Linked DNA regions of Macaca mulatta. Each later gene encodes a partner of the first gene's protein in a complex. Links are inferred from orthologs where the notes say so. Each region holds a gene or a part of one and is shown in the gene's direction. Other genes may lie near its edges.

What was found.
Region 2: WASHC5 (region 1) and WASHC3 share a complex: the UniProt entries of both Homo sapiens proteins name them as parts of the WASH core complex. The link is inferred for Macaca mulatta from reciprocal best matches to the Homo sapiens genes WASHC5 and WASHC3.
Region 3: WASHC5 (region 1) and WASHC1 share a complex: the UniProt entries of both Homo sapiens proteins name them as parts of the WASH core complex. The link is inferred for Macaca mulatta from reciprocal best matches to the Homo sapiens genes WASHC5 and WASHC1.

What each region holds. Positions count from the first base shown.
Region 1 is NC_133413.1:135,514,204-135,521,847, reverse strand, and holds part of WASHC5 (WASH complex subunit 5), read left to right. Parts: intron 1-3,097; 5' UTR 3,098-3,220; coding exon 3,221-3,406; intron 3,407-3,860; coding exon 3,861-4,006; intron 4,007-4,651; coding exon 4,652-4,736; intron 4,737-5,361; coding exon 5,362-5,462; intron 5,463-7,644. UniProt on the Homo sapiens protein: Acts as a component of the WASH core complex that functions as a nucleation-promoting factor (NPF) at the surface of endosomes, where it recruits and activates the Arp2/3 complex to induce actin polymerization, playing a key role in the fission of tubules that serve as transport intermediates during endosome sorting.
Region 2 is NC_133416.1:109,346,307-109,353,950, reverse strand, and holds part of WASHC3 (WASH complex subunit 3), read left to right. Parts: intron 1-242; coding exon 243-350; intron 351-4,473; coding exon 4,474-4,584; intron 4,585-7,644. UniProt on the Homo sapiens protein: Acts as a component of the WASH core complex that functions as a nucleation-promoting factor (NPF) at the surface of endosomes, where it recruits and activates the Arp2/3 complex to induce actin polymerization, playing a key role in the fission of tubules that serve as transport intermediates during endosome sorting.
Region 3 is NC_133416.1:784,645-792,288, reverse strand, and holds the end of WASHC1 (WASH complex subunit 1), read left to right. Parts: intron 1-1,924; coding exon 1,925-2,036; intron 2,037-2,383; coding exon 2,384-2,530; intron 2,531-2,707; coding exon 2,708-2,844; intron 2,845-3,090; coding exon 3,091-3,226; intron 3,227-3,403; coding exon 3,404-3,605; intron 3,606-3,693; coding exon 3,694-3,858; intron 3,859-4,633; coding exon 4,634-4,792; intron 4,793-5,536; coding exon 5,537-5,605; intron 5,606-5,745; coding exon 5,746-5,879; 3' UTR 5,880-6,226; downstream 6,227-7,644. UniProt on the Homo sapiens protein: Acts as a component of the WASH core complex that functions as a nucleation-promoting factor (NPF) at the surface of endosomes, where it recruits and activates the Arp2/3 complex to induce actin polymerization, playing a key role in the fission of tubules that serve as transport intermediates during endosome sorting.

The sequences.
Region 1 (7,644 bases):
AGACATCTGACATGGCAGCTTTGGACACCTGAAGAGAGCAAAAGGAGATACTGCCAGGCCTTCTCAAGGTTTAGGCCTAGAATTGGTAGAGAGTTACTTCTACAGTATTCTTTGGGTTGAAGGAAGGAAGACATAAACTGTTATGAGCTGAGTTGAGTCCCTCCAAAATTTCTATGTTGAATTCCTAACACTCAGTACCTCAGAATGTGACTGTATTTGGAGACAGGATTTTTAAGGAGGTGATTAAGTTAGAATGAAGCCACTAGGATGGGCTCCAATCCAATATGACTAGTGTCTTTCTAAGAAGAGGAACTTTGGATGCATACATTTTAAGAAGAGGAACTTTGGACACAGAAATTTACAAAGGAGGGCCAGGCTTGGTAGCTCATGCCTGTAATCCCAGCACTTTGGGAGGCTGAGATGGGAGGATCGCTTGAGCCCAGGAATTTGAGACTCCCCTGGGCAACATAGTGAGACCCCCATCTCTATAAAAAGAAATGAACAATGGGGAGGCCATGTGACGATACAGGAAGAAAATAGCCTACTACAAGCCAATGAGAAAAGCCTGAGAAGAAAACAGTCCTACCATCACTTTGATCTTGAATTTCTTGCCTCCAGAATTGTGACAAAATAAATTTGGTTAAGTCACCCTGTCTGTGGTGCTTTGTTATGGCAGCCCAGCAAACTAATAAACAAACGCAATCCAGACTCATTGAGAGGGAAAATAAGGTTCAGCCCTTCACTTAAGGTATGTATGTGCTGACTTAATGGCAAGGAATTGTTGGGAGCCATCTTTGGAAACCAGTTACCGCATTATTATAATCAAATTGCTTTCCTAGCCCCTAGAACTAAGAAAAATGATTGTTGCAGGGTAAGGCACACAGACCTGAACAAGAAGGGTACTCAAGTCTGTGGGCAGAGGGGGAATGTAAGAAGTAGTAGCCTAATAAGACAAATTACCTACTTCAAGAACTTTCTGAAACCTCATCAAGTCCGAGGAGTTATTTCATTTGTGTAAGTCTTGCTTCCTTCTCCAGTCGCCCTTCGCCTTCCACCATCTGCTCACCCCTGCTCTCTGCACTGGCTGTAGGAGGAAGCTAGTGGGAAGGAAAGGGACGGGTCAGGAAGCAGTTTTATCAAGAGTCTGTGTGTTAAAGAAGATGCTTAGAAGGCACAGCCTGGGTAGTGACATGCTCAAAGACTTTTATGTGTACAGGAAAACGTCACATGTATGTTTTGTTGATTGGTTGGTTTTCATTCCTGGTGACATCTTTTTTTCCATTTTCCTTTTTACTTGGCTCCCGCCTCCCCTTCTCTCCCTGTTCTCTCTTTGACAGCTTGTGAGATCCCTTTGCATGTTTTAGAAATCAACCCTGTGTCTGCCGTTTGGATTTCAAATCCATCTTCTAAGTCATTTACCATAGAAAAGTTTTTAAGTGTTACATACTAAAATAGGTCATTCCTTTTAGATGCTAGGTTTCTTTCTCTAGCCCTGAATTCCTAGATGTCACTTTACTAAAGATCACCCACTATAAGAATACCTGTCCCAACAGAACACCTAGTAAATGCTCCATACTGACAATTAAATGTATGTTACACTTCTTATTTCTTTATTGTAATGACACACTCAAGCCCTTCATCTCTCTGATATTTTTTTTCTTCAGGGCTTCTCTCTCCAACAGTATAGCAGGCAGCTAGAGAGGACAGACATCACTCCTCTTGCAATCCTAGTATTTTTTTTTTTTTTTTTTTGAGACGGAGTCTCGCTCTGTCGCCCAGGCTGAGTGCAGTGGCCAGATCTCGGCTCACTGCAAGCTCTGCCTCCCGGGTTTATGCCATTCTCCTGCCTCAGCCTCCTGAGTAGCTGGGACTATAGGCGCCCACCACCTCGCCTGGCTAGTTTTTTGTATTTTTTAGTAGAGACGGGGTTTCACCCGGTTAGCCAGGATGGTCTCGATCTCCTGACCTCGTGATCCACCCGTCTCGGCCTCCCAAAGTGCTGGAATTACAGGCTTGAGCCACCGCGCCCGGCCCCTAGTATTGTTATTCAGGCACTCCTTTTACTTGTCAATGCCAAGGAATGAGTTCAGCACAAAGGGCACAAAGATAGATATTGTTAATTTCCTGTTTACTTGCTGCAGTTTTCCACAAGACCAGTCATTCTCTACTATTTTAATGATCCTGGCTTCACATCAGAATCATCTGGGGAGATTCTTAAAAACAGAGATACTTAGGACTACCTCTAACCTACTTACCAGACTCTTAAAATGCTAGGTGATTCCCTTATGCAGCCAGGCTTGAGAACCACTGGACTAGAAGGTGAGTGGTCTAAACGTCTTCATATCCAGCCTGGCAAAGAGATATTCAGCAAGGAGTGGTTGGGTAAAGATCAATCCTTGCCTTCAAGAACTTTCAGAATGAGCTGTAAGCAACAATAATATTCAGTATGCTAAGTGATCTAACCATGCTCAGAGAGTACATTGGAATACAAGAGAAACAAGTAATGGATTCTGCTAACAGTACTAGACACCTAAGTACTGAATTTTGTGAGACTTTTGGACCAGTTTGATTTAGTATTTATAAATTATCTTCACAGAATTTTGTAGAACTTAGCATCTGTAATTTTAAAAGGAATCTTGGACATGTTCATAGCTTAAGCTTGCAGTTCCATTTCTGGGAAATAATTGGACAAATGCCTCAAAATGATGTACAGGGATTTGTCTCTGAGCTCTCTTTATAGTATTTGAAATTATTTGCTAATATATTGAGTAGTAGAAGATAGCTTGTATAATTAGGGTACATTGGAACCACACATGCCCAGTGGTTCCTTCTCCCTAGCTCAGAGATGAGCTGTATCATATCTTTTTCCCAAGAGAAGTGACTAACATGTTGAAGAAGAGGCGAAGAGTGTTAATCTACCAAAGCCCCTCCACATGGAAAATATGGAGAGTGGCAGATAAATACCCTTTCCCCTATAAAGGAACTCATTATTTCTTACAATTTTTTTAGTGAGTTTGGGAGAAAAATGTGTTTCTTATGTGTACACATGTGCTTCCTTAAACAAACTGAGATTTTCACACTTTTTTGGGGGATACAGGTTCTTTATGGAGCAGCCAATCTCTCTGCACACCTGGTTTCATCTAATAATCTACAGACACCAGCTCTAAGGCCGGTTAATCATCCCCAGTGTCCACGCACAGAATAGTCGGTCCTCCTCACAATGTTGGACTTTCTAGCCGAGAACAACCTCTGTGGCCAAGCAATCCTAAGGATTGTTTCCTGTGGTAATGCCATCATTGCTGAACTTTTGAGGCTCTCTGAGTTTATTCCTGCTGTGTTCAGGTTAAAAGACAGAGCTGATCAACAGAAATATGGAGATATCATATTTGATTTCAGCTATTTTAAGGTAATCTTCCTCAATGCTTTTTTATTTGTTGTCTTTTCTACAAAAACGTGTTTTCTCTGGGAACCGTGAAACTCTGTAAGGTTAAGTAGTTATGGAAAAAGCTAAAGAGAAAAGCTTCTGGACTAAACGTAATGTTAGCTACTAACTTGAAAATAAGTTGAAGGTATTATGTGAGAGCCCTAACACAATATAATTGTATTTTTAAAACGTAACTTTGACATTTCACATTGAAGGGCCCCATACTTAAAAGCATGCTAATCTTGGGTCCAATTCAAATTCATTTATCTCAAAGGGATTTTACATCTAGGCTTCTATTATCTTCATTACTTTCTGTTGCTCCGCTTTAAGTTTAGGATGTTTAAGAACATAAGAACAAGTTTTTAAAAGACTATTTGGAAATTGTCACCAACAAGTATGCTTTTATTGACATTTCATGTGTGTTTTTTTTTCTTAGGGTCCGGAATTATGGGAAAGCAAACTGGACTGTAAGCCAGAGCTACAGGATTTAGATGAAGAATTTCGTGAAAACAACATAGAAATTGTGACCAGATTTTATTTAGCATTTCAAAGTGTGCATAAATATATTGTAGACTTAAACAGGTATTGATCAATTTAGTAACAGCTTATTCTGGTGGTAAATAGTGGAGAGGGAAAAGGACACACAACAACGTGTAAATCTCTCTGAGTTACTATAAAATTTCCTAATTTAGTGTATGCCGTATAAAGTTGTCTCTTCCTTCCTGTGGCACTGGTCATCTTAAGAATTTTAAAGTTTTACTATAATGTCCTGCTTTTGTGAGGTGTCATAATAAACTTAGTTTATACTAAGTCATATAGTTTCCAATCCTGTTATTTATTATCATATTCTAGTGTATTATATGTGAAAAGTGGGAAAAAGAACTTATTTTTATCATTAACTTTCTGTCTCTTATACAGTTCTTAAGAATTCATTACTCATTAACTTTTAAACTAGATATTCCATGTTCTTCTGCCTTTACTCCTAGATACTTGTAATTCACAAATCAGGACTAGGGAATATTTCTTTTACTTGGAACAGCCATAAATATCAAACTGTGGCCTTAAATCAGTTTATAAGACTGTATTCTTAAGAGCGTGAAGGACCATGAACTAGTGGAAGGCCAGAATGCCTGGCATCTTGCCTTATCTTTTAAAAATCTTTCCTCCTTTAAAGATGTTAAAGTTTCTATTATAAATTAATAACTCGCTCTGGGATTTTATTTCTAGATATTTAGATGATCTCAATGAAGGGGTTTATATTCAGCAAACCTTAGAAACTGTGCTTCTCAACGAAGATGGAAAACAACTTCTGGTAAGTAATAGTGATTATTTAAAATGAAATTCAAGAATTTCAAACATAGTATCCCTTTTTTTTCTTCTAAGTCATAAATATAAATGAAATACCATTCTTTAAAGAGAAGCAAAATGAGCTTTTAATTATCTTCTAACTGGCAGGTCCATATCTGAGTTTAGAACGTAGACTTTGAACAGAATTTAAAACAATGAAAAGTTATGTGGAAGTTATGAGCCTCCTCGGTGTAAGAATTCTGTCTTCTTTACTTTTTGCATCCCAGCCATCTGTCCTGGTACCTAGTACATACTGACCATTTAAGAAATGCTTATTGAATAAGTGAATGACTTTATGGTGAAGTGAATGACTTTATGATGAGTAGGTTGCTATTTTGGTGTCCCAAGCAAAATAGCCAAAATAGGTCAACTGAAAGATTATCACTATGAATTAATATCTATTTCACATAAACTTTTCAAGTCCCATTCTGCAAGAAGGTAAGAGCTCTTTGGAGGAGACCTACGTTTTCCTTGAAATCTAAAACTTTTTGGAGAAGTGTGAGCAAAGCGATATTTTTCATGATTACCGACTTTATTCCCTAAGAATGTATAATCTAGTGATTTTGGCTTTTGTCCTCTTCTCTTCTTAGTGTGAAGCACTGTACTTATATGGAGTTATGCTACTGGTCATTGACCAAAAGATTGAAGGAGAAGTCAGAGAGAGGATGCTGGTTTCTTACTACCGATACAGGTATTCCTGGGCTAGGACTCCACTTCCAAAACACTGCTGTTAGTAAAATGCGGTGTATGTCCCCATATTTCTTCTACTGTAAACAGCAGTAATCCAAGAATACATAAGAAAGTATACGATTCATCCAGGCACGGTGGCTCACGCCTGTAATCTCAACACTTTTGGGAGGCCAGGGCCAGTAGATCATCTGAGGTCAGGAGTTCAAGACCAGTCTGGCCAACATGGTGAAACCGTGTCTCTACTAAAACTACAAAAATTAGCCAGTCGTGATGGTGGGCACCTGTAATCCCAGGTACTCAGGAGGCTGAGGCAGGAGAATCGCCTGAACCCGGGAGGTGGAGGTTGCAGTGAGCCAGGATCACGCTACTGTACTCCATCCTAGGTGACAGAGCGAGACTATGTCTCAAAAAAAAAAATATATAAGATTCTTATCTCTTGTGAGCATGTTGTAGGACTATAACAATTACGCCATAGTATATTTCATAATAGATTATAGATTATATAATCTATATATTACATATAAAATATTCTATGTATTATAGATTATTAGAGGTATGGATTATGCTGTCCGTAATGATAACTCCAATTTTAAAAAGGAGTCTGAATTGTGAACTTTCTTTACCTTGAGGCTAAATTTCAAAGAATATTAGAAATCTAATGAAGGTTGTTTTTGCTTTTGTTGTTTACATTTTCAAATATTACTCCTTGGCAGATATAAAGAAAGGAGTGTGCTTTCTGTTGTCATTTGCAGTTTGATGACTTAGAAAAGTTGTCATTCAGAGTCAGGTTGAAAGTGAATTCTTTCCCATATTTACATAGAAACAAAAACAAATCAAGCAATAGCACATATCCACAAATCATTTGTCGTGTATCTCTATACGGAACTGTGATTCTTCGGAAAGTAAGGTCTTGAAAACAGGAGCCATCTTAACCAACTTTTTAATTTTAGTGTCTAACACACAGGTTTTCAATTTGTTGAATGAGCTAAAAATGGAATACCAGGTCAATGTTGGAAATAGTCAAGATGCAGAGAAGAAAGTGTCAATAAGGAGGAGTCAGTTAGGAGCTTGAGCTAAAGATGTAAGGAGTAGAATTAACATTTTCAAACTTAAAAATTAGGACAAAATAGACAAGGAGAAGGGGGTTCTTTGGGGACATTATATTTTCGGCAATACCAGGTACCACTGTGTCCTCAGCAGGAAATTAATCTTAGGCTTCTCAACTAGCCTTTTCCTTTCAGCTGCATCAGAGTGCGAAGGGAGCGTTCTAGCAGTGTTCATTCATGTCAGTTTGACCAAGCTGTTTTAACATCCATGTTTTTAAAAATGAGATTTAAATGGCCTTTCCTATGTTTCTGAGAGTACCTGGAAAAACAAAAACTATAGACAGTGCAAAGAAGAAGAAAAAATTATTGGCTTATCAAGCCCAGTTTTGAAAATATGGCTTTGTCCCCTTTGGTACAACAGCTAATTCATTAGAATGTGAGCATTCATTATTGAAGTGACACTGAACACCTCCAAGTCACAGTCGTGGCAAAAGAGATCCTTACAGCGAATAGCAGGTCATCTCCAAGTCTAAGATTCTTTGAATCTAGTTCATTTCTTTCAGAGCTTACTATTCCACCCAGAAAAATCACAGACCTGTTTATTAGATCTCTGTAGAAGGAACAGCTTGCCAAGAAAAAAGTATAGATTTCACTTTAAATTGACATAATATTTTAAAATTATTTTTTAATTTGTAAAATGTCAGGTTCACATTCTTTACCCACAATTTTCAAATCCAAAGAGCTCTGAAAAAATATGTATACACGAGTACACACACAGCACACATGTACATATACATAGTAATTCATTTGGCAGCAAAACCTGATCTAACCTGAAATCGTTTGGAGTCAAAACTTGCCTGGAATAGGTGTGAGGCTATGTGTAGTCTTCACTTAACTCAGTTTTGTAAATATTTATAAATTTTCATCCGGAATTATTCACTTATGTTGATCATGGGATGCCAATTCAGACACTGCTGGAGTGTTATATTGTATATGATCTATATGCCATATTGCTTTCTTATATTTGAGAAATGCTATATTCTGAAACAAATCCAGTCCCAAGGATTTTGGAAAAGGGATTATGGACCTTTACATAGAACGAATACCTATCTTCTAAGCAGGCTTTCAAAAATATAA
Region 2 (7,644 bases), on another chromosome or scaffold:
TTTTGAAAATAATGGTTATATAAACTAAATTAGATTTTTGAGAAGTTCTTCAAAATAATTTGTGACTGTCTTTCACTTTTAGTTTATGACATGGAAAATTTAAGACAAGATATTATGAACCTATTTGTATAGCCTTAAAACTTAAGACAGCTATTAAAAATATACAAACCTAGAAACTTATAGTGTTTATGCAGGTACTATCTTCATATTTCAATACCAATTTTCTTTTCATCTTTTTTCAGTTGTCATCTATCCCAGGCCTAGATGATGTCACAGTTGAAGTATCTCCTTTAAATGTCACCAGTGTCACAAATGGAGCACATCCTGAAGCCACTTCAGAGCAACCACAGGTGAGTTCTAAGAAATGAGCAGATGTTTTTGGTTGAAACTGATAGTCTTAAGCAGCAGGTTGGAAGGAAGAAAAATAAAAATGTAAAACTTCTAATAGTAAAATTTTAAAACCTTAACATAGAAAATGAAGTTTGGGAAAAACAAATTAGCTGTGTTATTTTGAAGGGCTTCCTTAAGTTAATACTTTCTTTGCCTATAAAAAAGAAAATCAGTCTATATAGGACTAGGAAAAATCTTCAAATAATTATTTTCTTCAACATAATTAGAAATTTTTCTAAGTTCTTATAAGAAATGTACTTTTAAAATGTTTTATTGTAAAATTTTTAAATATACACAAAAACAGACCTGAATTCACCAGTTATGATTTGTCACAATTGCTTTATCTATTTTCTTGGTCACTTGCTGAAATTAATCCCAGACAGTTTATCATCTCACCCCTGCATAAATTTTTGAGCATCTCTGAAAAGTTTTGACATGTTCTTTTGTAACATTTTTCTTATATAAATGCCTTTATCATATACAATGTAATTAACAATAATTGGCCAGGTGCAGTCTTTCATGCCTGTAATCCCAGCACTTTGGGAGGCTGAGGCAAGTGGATTGCTTGAGCTCAGGAGTTTGAGATTAGCCTGGGCAACATGGTAAAACTGTCTCCACTAAAAATACAAAAATTAGCCAGGTGTGGTGGCACGCACCTGTGGTCTCAACTACTCAGGAGGCTGAGGTGAGGGGATCACTTGAGCTCACGAGGCAGAGGTTGTGGTGAACTGAGATTGCACTACTGCACTCCAGCCTAGGTGACAGCGCAAGACCCTGCCTCAAAAATTAAAAAAATAAAAATAAATGAACATTCGCTGGTATTGTCTAACCCCTTGTTACTCAAGTACACCCCATGGACCAACCCACATGGGCATCACCTGGCGGCTTGTTAGAATGAAGCATCTCAGGCTCCACCCCAAAACTGCTGAGAATCTACATTTTAACAAGACCCCTAGGTGATCTGTAGGCACTTAAAATTTGAGAGCTACTGATCTTAGAAATACCAGTTGTCTAAAAACTGTGTTTCTGAAGTTGATTCCTTTGAATCAGCATCCTAATAAAAGCTATACTTTACATTTGGCTCTTAGATCTTAACATTTACTTATGCTTCTGTATGAATTTCAATTTTCTATTACTTTTTATTTCAAAAAATAAAAATTATTTGTTTTTTGAGAACAATCTCTAGTGTATCTCAGCGAGGTATTAAAATCTAAAACAAAATAATTATCAAAGTGGTGGCCTACCAAAGTAATAATAAACAAATTAAACAAATAGACTTATAATGGAATTCTGCCTTTGTACCTGGAGGCACTTTTCACAGGATATTTTTTAGATCACGATGATGTTGACAATGATGATAACAGCTAACACTTCAAGAGTGCTTTCTGTGTACCAAGGCATGCACGTTTCTAAGTGCCTTTCATAAACGAATTTAATCTTTACAACAGCCCTATAATATAAGCACCATATTATCAATCTTACTTTATAGATGGGTCAAATGAGGTATATAGAGGTTAAGTAACTTGCTGAAGGTCGAAAAGTAATGTAAGAATTAGAATTTTAACCCAGACAGTCTGGTGCCAAGAGCCCTAGCACTTACCTGCTACACTACACTACACTATACTACACTACACTACTCTGTTTTCAGTACCTGTGTTCAATTTATTAAACATATTGAGGATATGTGGTATGAGGCCCTGTAGGAAAAGCCATATATTTAGAATATAGTATATATTTGGGTAATAAATTAGATGATCATTTACTTAATTAGATATTATAAAATTTAACATCCATTTATTTAATATAGCAAATTTCATTATCCTGGCCACTCAAATATATAAAATGCAAGAGGATATCCAGATGTTATAGAGGAGTTTAACTTTATATTCTCTCAATTAAATATGACTATCCTCTTTCTAAAACAAAGCATACCAAGAAAATATTTCCACTCTATCTAGTAGTTATTATGTGGTGGATAGAGCAGTCATATATTTCTATAATATTTTTAAGTATACCTGTCTAACTTTATTAATTTTTCCAGGTGCTATTATGAATGCCATCTATAGTATGCCCTTTAAAATTTTTATGCAGTTGTGTTGGTCCTCACATATTTAATGTCCCAAAAAATTGATTACCAGTAATCACAGCTGAATTTCTTAATTTGCTTTGCAAATTCAGAATAACCTGGTATATCTCTGGCAATTTTATTTAAAAATGTTTATGTATTTATTTAGAGGGTTTATGAAGTTCTTTTGGCTTCCAAAGTTTGAAATACTGTGATAAAGTTGTGTGTTGATTAGCTTAATAAAATAACTGCTCAGCATGTTCTTAATATTCACATCAACTTCTCATTTCTTCGTTGTTATCAACTGGTATATTTTATACAAAATATTTTGAAGTGGGCTTAAGTATTGCTTAATCCAGAGTTTTCATTGACATTATAGTTCACTCAATTAACAGATAAAGGGGAATAGTGCACTTTTTAAAAAAATCATCTATTTATCACTCTCTCTAATCTATACATGAGTCAAAGACCCAAAGTTTGTGTACTGATTTTTCTGCAACTTTAATTTCATGGTTCAGATTTCATCATTATTCACAATAGAATATCCAATTGTGCAGAGTGAGTTTGATTTGAGAATATATGAAGGACAGTTGAGAGATATGATAGAGGATTTAATGGATCATTCAGATAGCAAAGGTGTTTCATAATTAAACCTTGTTGAGGTCTTGGTTATTACGCAAACGTTAACGACTGAGAGTTGATATCTGGCCAGGATATAGTTCTCATTTGCACCATTTTGCTATTATATATATGAGTTTAATTTCCATAAATTGTTAAAAAACATATTTGGTTATTGTTTTAATTTTTTATTTAATTAACTGTTTTGGAATTTTTGTATTTATGTATATTATAGATGAATATATATACACACACACACATATATATATACACACACACACACACAGTGACTTTTGTAAAACTTAGCAATATCATGTAACAGAAGAAACCTAAAGGACTTTTGGATGTTTTTATTTGCTTTGGAATTTTCAGATTTAATTTATATTTGAATTATCTGAGGAAAAACTTCAATATGTAATTCACATTCATAGTCTAAAGACTGTGAAGATATAAAGATATGGATTTATCTACATTTCAGCATGAACAATAGACATAAAATTGATTTCTTCTAAGGAAATTCTTCTTAATGCTTATATACAGATAATGAGAGAGATTCACAAAAGTAAGCTTTTTCTAAATGTTTGGTTTGATAGAAAAATCAAGTACTGTATACAGGCAGTTCTAGTTTTGCATTTAAGCAAGGATATGGTTCTGATATGCACAAGTTTCAGTAACATGGTACCATGCAAAGTGAAGACTGCCTGTATAACAATGGCATTTTTATCTAAAAAGACCATTCCCCAAGATTCTTTATTACAAGTCGTATTTACTATGACTTTTAACCACTCCGTAGACAATGTTACCATTAATAGTTCCATCAGTAGCTGAAATATATAAAACCAGATAATTTTGTCTGACAAACTGGCTTCTCTTCTACAACTTCTCCAAAAATTGCTTTCTAAAAAGTTAGAAGAGCCATGTCCACTTAGAATAAAATGATTTACTAAATAAAGGGCTCAATTAGGTAGATTATAGATATCTAGGAAATCAATTCATCATTATCTCAGTTAATTTATTATTAATTTATAAACAGTTGATAGTTTTATTAGGTTTCTTAAAAGTTTTGTTAAAATAGTATAACCACCTATATATAATTCATGCTTTGTATCAGCACTCTGAGGACAAGTAAAACAGAATTTTTATTTTAATGCATGAATATACTTGTGTTTTAAGGAACCAATATAGTGTTGAAGTGTAACCTCCTCTGAAGTGATATTTAAATATTTGTAGATATTTGCAAACATATCTCATCATTAAATTATTGGTATTTAAATTGGGGGAGATGCTTTTTTTTCTGCAATTTATTGCCTTAGAATTATGGAAAGAAGCATTCCTTTTAAGTAACATGATGGACCCCTTTTGTAAATTGTCTAAAGATTTACACAAAATACTCTCTACAGCAGAGCAGTACACAAGACTCTGGACTACAGGAAAGTGAAGTATCAGCAGAAAATATCTTAACTGTAGCCAAGGATCCAAGATATGCCAGATATCTCAAAATGGTTCAAGTGGTAAGCTAATTTGGTCTGTCTTCTTTGTGTAGCAGCCTCATTTGAAATTCTTAACCCTGGAGGTTTTGCTGTTATTTTTTTCAATTTGAGAAAACTGCTAAACCAAGTAACCAAGTTTTCTATTCTCTTCCTTTCTATTTTAACTCTCTGATTTAAAAAAAAAAAAAAAAAAAAGTCAAATCTTTGTAATTAGAATCGATCCCACCCTTTAAATTAACATAGTTTAATATAGATTTATATAAATTTGTTTGCATTACACAAAGTTATCAAGGCAAATCTTAGATACAAAAAGTAATGAAAGTAGACTATTCATTTGGTAAATCAGTTGATTCTAGCTTAATTCCCATATATTAGCACAAATAATATTTTTAAAAATTTTTATGTTCATCTATCAATGATCTCTTGGCCATGTAAGGTAATGCTTTTGATATTATATGACTTCAGAATTCATATTTTTCCTGAGAAATCATAACATGGTATGGTACCAAAAATATCTGCAGTCGTCTATAATAGCAGAAGTTAACATTTTTTTATTCCTTTAGAAACTATTTCAATAGTTGAAGGAGTTAGTTGTCCATCATTTTTCTGTTAATCAAACAGTTAAAGCCTGGCACAGTGACACACACCTGTAATCCTAGCACTTTGGGAGGCTGAGGTGGGAGGATGACTTGAAGACAGGAGTTTGAGACCAGCCTGGGCAGCAAAGCAAGACCCCCTACCTCTACATTTAAAAAAAAAAAACTCCATATGATGGCATGCACCTGGTAGTCCCAGCTACTCAAGAGGCTGAGGTGGGAGGATTGCTTGAGCCCAGGAGTTCAAGGGTGCACTGGCTCACCTGACTGATTGTGCCACTGTACTTCAGTGTAGGTGACAGAGAGAGACCCTGTCTCAAAAATAATAATAATAATAATGCTTTTGTAAAATTCTATTATCAAGCAAAAGAAGCAGAATACTAATACTAAAGGACAGTTTTGTTTTGCTGTCCATGGGATAGTTTATCACCTAGTAATTTAAAAGCAAATTCTGACAACCAGAAAGAGTAGATTGGCTCATTTGGAAGCTGCACTTTTCCTAGCTATCAGAAGTGGATTTTTCACTTCCACAGTTCCTTTTTTCTGACGCCTAGAGCTCAGGATATTGGCGGTCAATTTAGAAAAAAATAAACCAAACTTCGGGGTGAAAATAGATGAAGTTTTTTAATTAAGAAGAATAAAACACAGCCAGTTTAAGCATGAATCATGATGAACACATTTTTAAAACTAGAACCCAGGAAAGCCTAAGCTTAAAAGATAGACTTGTTTAAAAAAAAAAAAAAAAAAAAAAAAAAAAAACTGTGTTTCACTCTTCTAAACAAAAGGGAGATGCTTCAGAATGACTGAAAGATTTTTTATATTAGCCCCTTCTTGCCAAATCTATATAAAATAAGAAATAGGAAAATCTATTAGATGATACTCCGTAAAAATGCTCTGAAATATTTTATGAAGGCTGCATCTTAGGATAATTGTTAAATTCTTGATATATTGCCTTCAATTTTACAAGAACTTCAAAAACTCTTTTTCTTTTTCATTATAAATCCACCATCTGTTCATTTCACAAATATTTATCAAATACTTAATTTAAGCTAAGCTACTGTATTAGGTACTGTCTAGATTTATTTAGCCAGCTAAGGTTTCCAGATACCACTTGCAATTTTTATTTTTGTTATTAATTACATGAACAAGTTTGATTGCTTTTCAGTCATAAATATACATATAAAATAAATGACCCGGGCTGGGCACGGTGGCTCACTCCTGTAATTCCAGCACTTTGGGAGGCCAAGGCAGGCGGATCACCTGAGGTCGGGAGTTTGAGACCAACCTGACCAACATGGAGAAACCTTGTCTCTACTAAAAATACAAAATTAGCTGGGCATGGTGGCACATGCCTGTAATCCCAGCTACTCGGGAGGCTGAGGCAGGAGAATAGCTTGAACCCAGGAGGCGAAGGTTGCGATGAGCCGAGATCATGCCATTGTACTCCAGCCTGGGCAACAAGAGTAAAACTCTGTCTTAAAAAAAAAAAAACAAATAGATGACCCTTTAATTATTTACTTTTTTAATCATATGTCTTATCACCTCATAGGAATAAGAGCCAAGATCCTCCACAGGCCCATGAAATCCTATACAGTTTAGCTCCTCTGTTACCCCTATGATCTCATATCCTCGCTCACTCTTCTCTAGCTCTACTGGCCTCCTTTTTGTCCCTTGAATAAAAATACATTGGCAGCCCCTGTCTTGGGGCCTTTGCTTCAGCTGTTCTCTTGGCCTGAAACACTTTTCCTCAGATACCTTCATGGTTTGCTCCCTCACCTCCTTCAAATCTATATTCAAAAATATTACCTTCTAAGTACAGCCTTCCTTGGCCACCCTGTTTTAAATTGCAGTGTCCTCTTACCCAATTCCCTTTACCCCTTCTCTGCTGTATTTTTCTTCTTATCAACTTCCAGCATTCTACATATTTTATATATTTACTCTCTCTCTTCCCTACAAAATTATAAACTCCAAAAGGACAGGGAATTTTTTTGTGTACTACACTATTCCTCATTCCTGCAACAATACCTTGTACATAGTCCTGTGAATGAAAATGCTTATAATTTGTCTATACCATTTCACCTTTTGATAGATTTAGGTGATAGATTCCTTTTTCACACTAGCTCAGTAGTTTGATAAACTTCCAAAATATAAGTTCCTGGGCCCTACCCTACAAAATTAGAATCTCCAAAGTTGGTACTTGATACATAGAGCGTATGTATTTTGGGGAAAAAAACCCTGATTAAGAATTGCTTAAAAACATTTTAAACTATGTCTTAATATCGTTTACATTTTTTAAACTTAAAAAGCATTTAAGAAAATAAATAATTGTTTTATTTTTTAAAAGCCTAAACTTTCTAGCAGTACTTGGCACTTAACTCCAGCCTATCCTTTTTGCTTGATGTCACTGAGTATGATTAGAGGTTCAATTTCTTCTGCCTCAGACTGTTTCTGATTTAAGACAAATTTTTCTGTTTTTAGCCCTTTG
Region 3 (7,644 bases), on another chromosome or scaffold:
CTGGAATCAGTCCATTGTTCAACTGTGCCCTTTGGGGCCATGGTTCATTTGGCTCTGATTTTTCCTGTATGTTCTCTCCTCTAACCCCCATAGCTCCATCTTGTCTACAAGATTTTGTTAGAAGCCGTCAAAATCCGTGCTGACTCAGGATGTACTGTGCTGCAAGTTTTCCCCGGGTGCAGCAGGCTCATAACCCTGTTACAGAGAGAAACGCTGTGCATTTCCAGCCGTGCTGGCCCCTGGGACTCACCGCTGCCTTTTCTAAGTGCTTACAGATTCTCTGTTTAATAATCCATTGCAGAAATTTTTTCAGGGCTCATTGTTGGGCTTGGTGTTTGCACCTTTGAGTGATCAGCCCTTCTCTCCTCTGTGGGAGCACCAGGACAGAGCAGCCTTTGTCCCTCCCCAGTCTCAGTTCCCTCCCACTGCCCCTGTGGATCTCGAGTGCAGAGCTTATGCAACTTCTGAAGGTCGTGTCAACACCCGGGGCAGAACGAGGCTGCCTTGGGAACTAGGGTAAATTAAAACAGCTTGTGCTGGAGGACCCTTAACAGCAGATGAAGGCCTCTCCCCAGCCAGAAAAGATGGAGCACACGCTGGGTGGGGCCCCACTTTCTCACTGGAAGGAGATGGTGCTCTTGTTTTTTCTTTCTGAGTTGTGGCCGCCTTCATACCAGTCTGTCATGGAACACTTAAGTTGCTCGGGTGCTTGCTGGTATTCCCAGCCCTGCCATGCCTCAGCGCCCTGCACACGAGGAGCCAGGAGTAATCAGGGCAGACTCATTAGGGTACGGGGACTCCTGGATTGTGAAATTGGCTCTCTGGGGGCCAAGGCCTTCTAAAGTTGGTGGAGGTGGCTTTGGCTTTTAGGGTCTAATTCTAGGCCATTCATTCCAACCTTTAGAGAAATCCCAGCATTCCCTAGCCCAGAGTCTGCAACCCCTCTACCACCCCACATCCTCCTCCTACCTTTCCTCATGAACCCCAGTTGCGCCTCTGCCTTCTCATTCCTGTGCATCACACAGGCTCGTGCGTGCCAGGTGGATGCTGAGGCTGCTCTGAATGTGGAGTGTGGCCCTTGTGGGCAAGGGCTGGGTTTTTGGAGGTAGCGGAGCTACAGGGGCAACTGGGAGGAGGATGTTGTGTTACATACACATCAGAGTTAACTTTGCAGTGAGAGCGGCCTTGCTGTGGCCAAAGAACATGGAAAAGCATGAGTGGGGTTGTGTGCCTCAAAGCATCAGGCATCCGGGCCTCGGGCACCGGGAGCCAGCCACAGGGATGTCTGGGGAAATGGCGCTCCATGAGATGCAAGCGCACAGGAATGCACTTGGTACATCTGGGGGACAGCAGGGCAGCTGGTATCACTGGCCCACCCGCACCAGGGAGGATGGGAGCGGGTGAGGAGCTACACCACACAGAGCCCGTGGGCCGTGGTCGGGACTCAGGGTTTGCTCAGTGAGCCATTCACTGTGCAGGGGCAGTTCCCTGTCTGAATTTAGGTCCAGCCTTGCCAGTCCAGCCTCCGGTCTCGATTCCCCCTCTGCAGAGGCCACTTTGTCTGCTTCACGTGATCATGAGGGGTTGTGAAATGCTTGCCCCATCAGTAGCCATGTGTGCATGTGTAAATACCATCCTCTGTGTGCCCTGGAGGCTGTCCTTCAGATAGCATGTACAGGTGCCAGCATAGGGTCTGTCCCTGCTGAGAGTGCGGGGAACTCAGTACCGTCAGCTCCTCGACCCTGCAGGTCAGATTATCCTTGTAGAGGCCACATGGATGGTACCAAGATGGGCCCTGGCAAGCAGGTGACCGTGACTTAGGAGCCCTTGCCTGAAGGCCTGGCCTGGCAGGCCTGCTGTTAGGAGCAGGAGGTGTGCAGGGGGTGGGGAGCAGCCCCAGCCTCTGTGATCTTCTCCGTGGCAGGATCTCCCAGCGGGTAGAGCAGAGCCGGAGCCAGGTGCAGGCCATTGGAGAGAAGGTCTCCTTGGCCCAGGCCAAGATTGAGAAGATCAAGGGCAGCAAGAAGGCCATCAAGGTAGCCCCCATGCCCCTGTGTCCTAAGGCTACTGGGCAGTCCCTCCATTTCCCCGTACCTCTGAGGCTGCCCAGTCTCTGCCTCGCTGTCCACCTGTACCTTGGACTTTCCTCCTGCCCAGGCCCCCAACCCCACCCTCTCCTGCCAGGCAATCCTAGCCCCCAACCCCACCCTCTCCTGCCAGGCAATCCTAGCCCCCAACCCCACCCTCTCCTGCCAGGCAATCCTAGCCCCCAACCCCATCCTCTCCTGCCAGGCAATCCTAGCCCCCAACCCCACCCTCTCCTGCCAGGCAATCCTAGCCCCCTGAGCCTCTTGGGGCCCCTGACTTGTCCCTGTGTCCACAGGTGTTCTCCAGTGCCAAGTACCCTGCTCCAGAGCGCCTGCAGGAATATGGCTCCATCTTCACAGGCGCCCAGGACCCTGGCCCGCAGAGACGCCCCCGCCACAGGATCCAGAGCAAGCACCGCCCCCTGGATGAGCGAGCCCTGCAGGTCTGCTGGCCACACACATAACATAGCCCGGGTCACACCAGGAGGACTGGATACTGGGGAGGAGCCGGGGCCACTGTAGGGTTCTGTCCCCCGGAGGAGGCTGACTGGGATGGGGTGGCAGCTGATTAGGCCCAGCAGTAAATATTCACCATCCCTTGGCCATCCTGGCCCTCCCAGGAGAAGCTGAAGTACTTTCCTGTGTGTGTGAGCGCCAAGCTGGAGCCTGAGGACGACGCCGAAGAGGGACTTGGGGGTCTTCCCAGCAACATCAGCTCTGTCAGCTCCTTGCTGCTCTTCAACACCACCGAGAACCTGTATGGCCAGAAGGCAGGGCCGAGGGGTGTGGGCGGGAGGCCCAGCCTGGCTTAGTGGGGACCCAGGGCATCAGACACAGGTACAGCACATAGGCCAGGAGCCAGGGGTGACTGGGGTGGCTTGGCTTGGGAGGCCTGGGACCCCACAGTGCACACTGTGCCCCTGATGATGTGGAGAGGTAGGTCAGGAACATGGGCTCAGGACAGCAGGTGTCAGCTTGCCTGACCCCCATGTCACCCCTGTAGGTACAAGAAGTATGTCTTCCTGGACCCCCTGGCTGGTGCTGTAACAAAGACCCATGTGATGCTGGGGGCGGAGACAGAGGAGAAGCTGTTTGATGCCCCCTTGTCCATCAGCAAGAGAGAGCAGCTGGAACAGCAGGTGGGAGGGGCGGGGCAGGGGTGGGGACAGGTGCAGTGGCCAGGGGCCCTGCCAGGGCTCCTCTCCAGGCAAGGCTGTTGAGCCCCTTATTCCACCCATGGGGGGTGCACACAAGGTCTTGTTGGCTGCCCCTGCAGGTCCCTGTCACCACTCACATGTCCCTACCTAATCTTGCAGGTCCCAGAGAACTACTTCTATGTGCCAGACCTGGGCCAGGTGCCTGAGATTGATGTGCCATCCTACCTGCCTGACCTGCCCGGCATTGCCAACGACCTCATGTACAGTGCCGACCTGGGCCCCGGCATTGCCCCCTCTGCCCCTGGCACCATTCCAGAACTGCCCACCTTCCACACTGAGGTAGCTGAGCCTCTCAAGACAGGTGAGCTGGGCTCTGGGATGAGGGCTGGGCTAGGGACCTCCCTGCTCACATACCTTCTTCCCTAGACACCCCACACTTTGTGTTTCAGACCTACAAGATGGGGTACTAACAGCACCCCCACCACCTCCACCGCCCCCACCACCTCCCCCAGCTCCTGAGGTGCTGGCCAGTGCACCCCCACTCCCACCCTCAACCGCGGCCCCTGTAGGCCAAGGCGCCAGGCAGGACAACAGCAGCAGCGCGTCTCCTTCAGGTGGGAGCAGCTCTTTGAGGGCACCTCATTTCTGGTGTGCTCTGTGCACTCAGGTGGATTTTCTGCAGGTTTGTTCAGTGGTCAGAAATCCTCGATTTTTTGAATAGTTCCCATTTCAAATATCTTGTTCTACTTGGTCCATAAAATAGTAGTTTTCAAGCTGTAGAGCTCTGGAATTCTCACCTCTAGTGCGCAGGGAGCCTGAACAAGTGAGGCTCTGGGTTCCCCATTCCTAATTAAACCAATGGAAAGAAGGGGTCTAATAACAAACTACAGCAACACATTTTTCAGTGTCACTGAAATTACAACATTTCAGCTTTACTGTTCTATCTCCCAGTCTATCCCTAGCATCCAGAAGTGGCACAAAGCCCCTCTGCTGGCTCATGTGTGCCGCTGAGACTGTCCAGCTCTGCAGGGTGGGGGCTGGGGAGGGAGCAGGGAGTGTCTCACACAGGATGCCTGTGCTCAGGCCCTACACAGTCTCCAAAGGTCCAGCCTCCCCAACACGGGGCTACACAGTCTCCAAAGGTCCAGCCTCCCCAACACGGGGCTACACAGTCTCCAAAGGTCCAGCCTCCCCAACACGGGGCTACACAGTCTCCAAAGGTCCAGCCTCCCCAACACGGGGCTACACAGTCTCCAAAGGTCCAGCCTCCCCAACACGGGCTCCTCGTTTGAGGGGAGGTGCCTTCCTCCCAGCAGGCTCTTGGCACAATAAGCTTCCCCAGGCCTGCCTGAGCAGCCTTTTCTCCTTGCCCCGTTCCCCACCTCCCAGCTCCAGTCCAGGGAGCTCCCAAGGAAGTGGTCGACCCCTCTGGTGGCCGGGCCACTCTGCTGGAGTCCATCCGCCAAGCCGGGGGCATCGGCAAGGCCAAACTGCGCAGCGTGAAGGAGCGAAAGCTGGAGAAGAAGAAGCAGAAGGAGCAGGAGCAAGGTGAGCGGGCCCTGGAGCCTGTGGTCGGAGGGCCTTGGGCAAGATGGCCTCCTCTCCTCCAGCCTTGAGTCCACTGGCTGTTTCCTGCCCACCCCCTGCCAGCCCCAGCCCCTGCTTCCCCTAGGGCACAGGCTGGAAGCCCTGGCCCGCCAACAGAGGTCCTCAGCCCTCCTGCCGGGGCCATGGCTCCTTCCTGGTTTGGGAGCCATAGTGGAGCTCTCCTCTGTAAGCGCACCCAGCTCAAACTGTGACAAGGAGAATCTTCTTCGACTGCTGAGTGGTCCGAGGCAATGGTCAGCCCCTGCAGCCTCCTGAGATATTTTTAGAGACTGGACCTGAGGCCTCTTGAGGCTACTGATGATGCCTGCTGCGAACCCAGACACTGGTGTGATGCGATGCCTGTGTGTACGGCAGCAGCGCCCTGGGCACTGTGGTTTTGAGCTTGTACCCAGCGCTGCTTTTGCCTTGCTCTGTGACCCCAGGCAAGCTGCCTCACCTATCTGGGCCAGTTTCCCCATCCGTCAGTGCTGCACACCCTGGTCCTGTCCCTGAGGTGGCTGGGAGAGTGCTTCTCAGACATAAGCACTCTCTCATCAGTGCCTGGTGCTGGGTCAGGGATAGACTGAGGCTCCAAGCTAACTGGGAAGCACGGTGGCCTTGGAGGGCTGGGGAGTGTCACGGGTGGGGACAGGGAGCCACGGGTCGCCTGTGACTGAACTCTTCACCCTGGCTTTCCCGTTGCAGTGAGAGCCACGAGCCAAGGTGGGGACCTGATGTCGGATCTCTTCAACAAGCTGGTCATGAGGCGCAAGGGTAGGAGGCAGGGCCGCTGCCCACCCTGGGCCGGCCCATTGTAATTCTCTCCTGCCTTTTTCTTCCTGTATTTAAGTCTCCGGGGGATGGGGGAACCAGGGTTTCCCACCAACCACCCTCACTCAGCCTTTTCCCTCCAGGCATCTCTGGGAAAGGACCCGGGGCTGGTGAGGGGCCCGGAGGAGCCTTTGCCCGCGTGTCAGACTCCATCCCTCCTCTGCCACCACCGCAGCAGCCACAGGCAGAGGAGGACGAGGATGACTGGGAATCCTAGGGGGCTCCATGACACCTTCCTCCCCCAGACCTAGACTTGGGCTGTTGCTCTGACATGGATACAGCCAGGACAACCCGCTGAGACCTGCTTCCCTGGGAGCGGGTGGTGATGGAACCAGCACTGTGCGGAGACCACCTGCAAGGAGCGGAAGGCTGGCCTGAGGCCACACGGCTGGGGCGGGGGCTTCTGTCCTCCTGTGCTCCACGGGGGGCGGCTCCACCCAGCCTGCACCATTGTGTTCTTCTCTTCTCTAAGGAGGCTTCCAGAGAAAGCAGCACACAAATCAATAAGGAACTGAGCAGAAACCAACAGCGTGCTTTTAATAAAGGACCTCTAGCTGTGCAGGATGCAAACGTCTGGGGGTCAGTGACTTTCCTCCTGCCCCTGTTGGTCCCTAGGCAATGGGGGCAGAAGATCCCAGCTGACCCATTTCTCTGGGGTCAGAGGGAGGAGAGAGGTGCAGTCAGCAGGGGCAGCTGTTGCAGGTGGGAGGAATAGTCTCCCACAGAAAAAAGCTTTCAGTGACAGACACGGGGTCTCTAAAAATAGTCATGCTGAGAGCCTAATGGCCCTTGGCACCATTGCTGGTGTTGGAGTAGAAGGTGTCTTGGAGTTGGCTCAAGTAGTTGAGAGGGAGGGAGGTGCCATCGACTTGGAGGAACTGGCACCAAGCCAGGGAGATACAAATCCAGGCAGGGCTGTGGGGCAGGTTAGGGAGCAGGGCTGCAGGAGTGACTCAGGAAGAAGGTGGGGAAAGTGACAAGCACCCCGGGCGGGAGCCCTGTGGCCATGCGGATCTTTCTAAGTTGAGACTGGAGGGTGAATAGTCCAGGGCAGCTGACTGTAGTTATCATAGAAATGGCAGAAGCAGATGCGTCTGCTCCATCTCGCCTCTAAGAAGGTTAAGAAGGTGGGCAGGACAGAAAAGGCAGCCTCCTGCAGAGGCCAGTGAGAAGCCTGGCCCTCAGCCATGTGGGATGGAAGATAGATTCGATTCCACAGAGGGGAGCTGCCCTGGGAAGACCTCAAGGATGGCCCAGACCTACCATTTCTTCGGGGTCCACTTGCTTTCTCCAGTGGGCACTAATGCTGTGTCTGGGTCCTGGCAGCACTCTGGACTCCACACACTCCTGGGTTTCACCTTTGTAGCACGATCCCTGCAGACCAGGCCCATGACAGACACTGTCTCCAGTGGGCAGAGCGAAGGCGGCGCAGCACCAGGCAGTGGTGCAGTTGCCTGTCAGGAAGAGGCCGACTTCTCCTGGTGAAACTGGGCAGACAGAAGGCAGTGAGAAATGCCATCTCGGGGTGGTGGAGGCTCTCGGGAAAGGAAAAGGCAGGACTGAACTTCCACACAGCAGCAATGGCCGAACCAAAGGTGGCATTGACCTGCACGAGGGCTCAGATCCAGGCTGGCAGCTTGGCCAGGACGGGGCCGGGTGTGTCACTGGTCCAGGAACACTATGCTGGCAGAATCCCTTCGGTGCCTGATGGTCCTGCCTTTGTGGGAACGGAGGCTCAGGCTTTGAGTCACAGCTGCCTCCCCAACAGCACATTTCCATGTCATCTTCCTCCCCTTCCTCAGCCTCAGGTGGGAGACAGGGCAGGCAGCCCCCCTTTCCTCTTCTCCCCTTCTCCAACCCCCGTCTGTCCACCCAGCCGGAGGCAGCCAGGCCTGCTTATGGACCGGTTGGCAGCCTTCATGCGCAGGTTCTCCACCAGCGCCTTTCTTGGGGGCCCCGGGCTGGGGCTCTGAGCTGGGGAG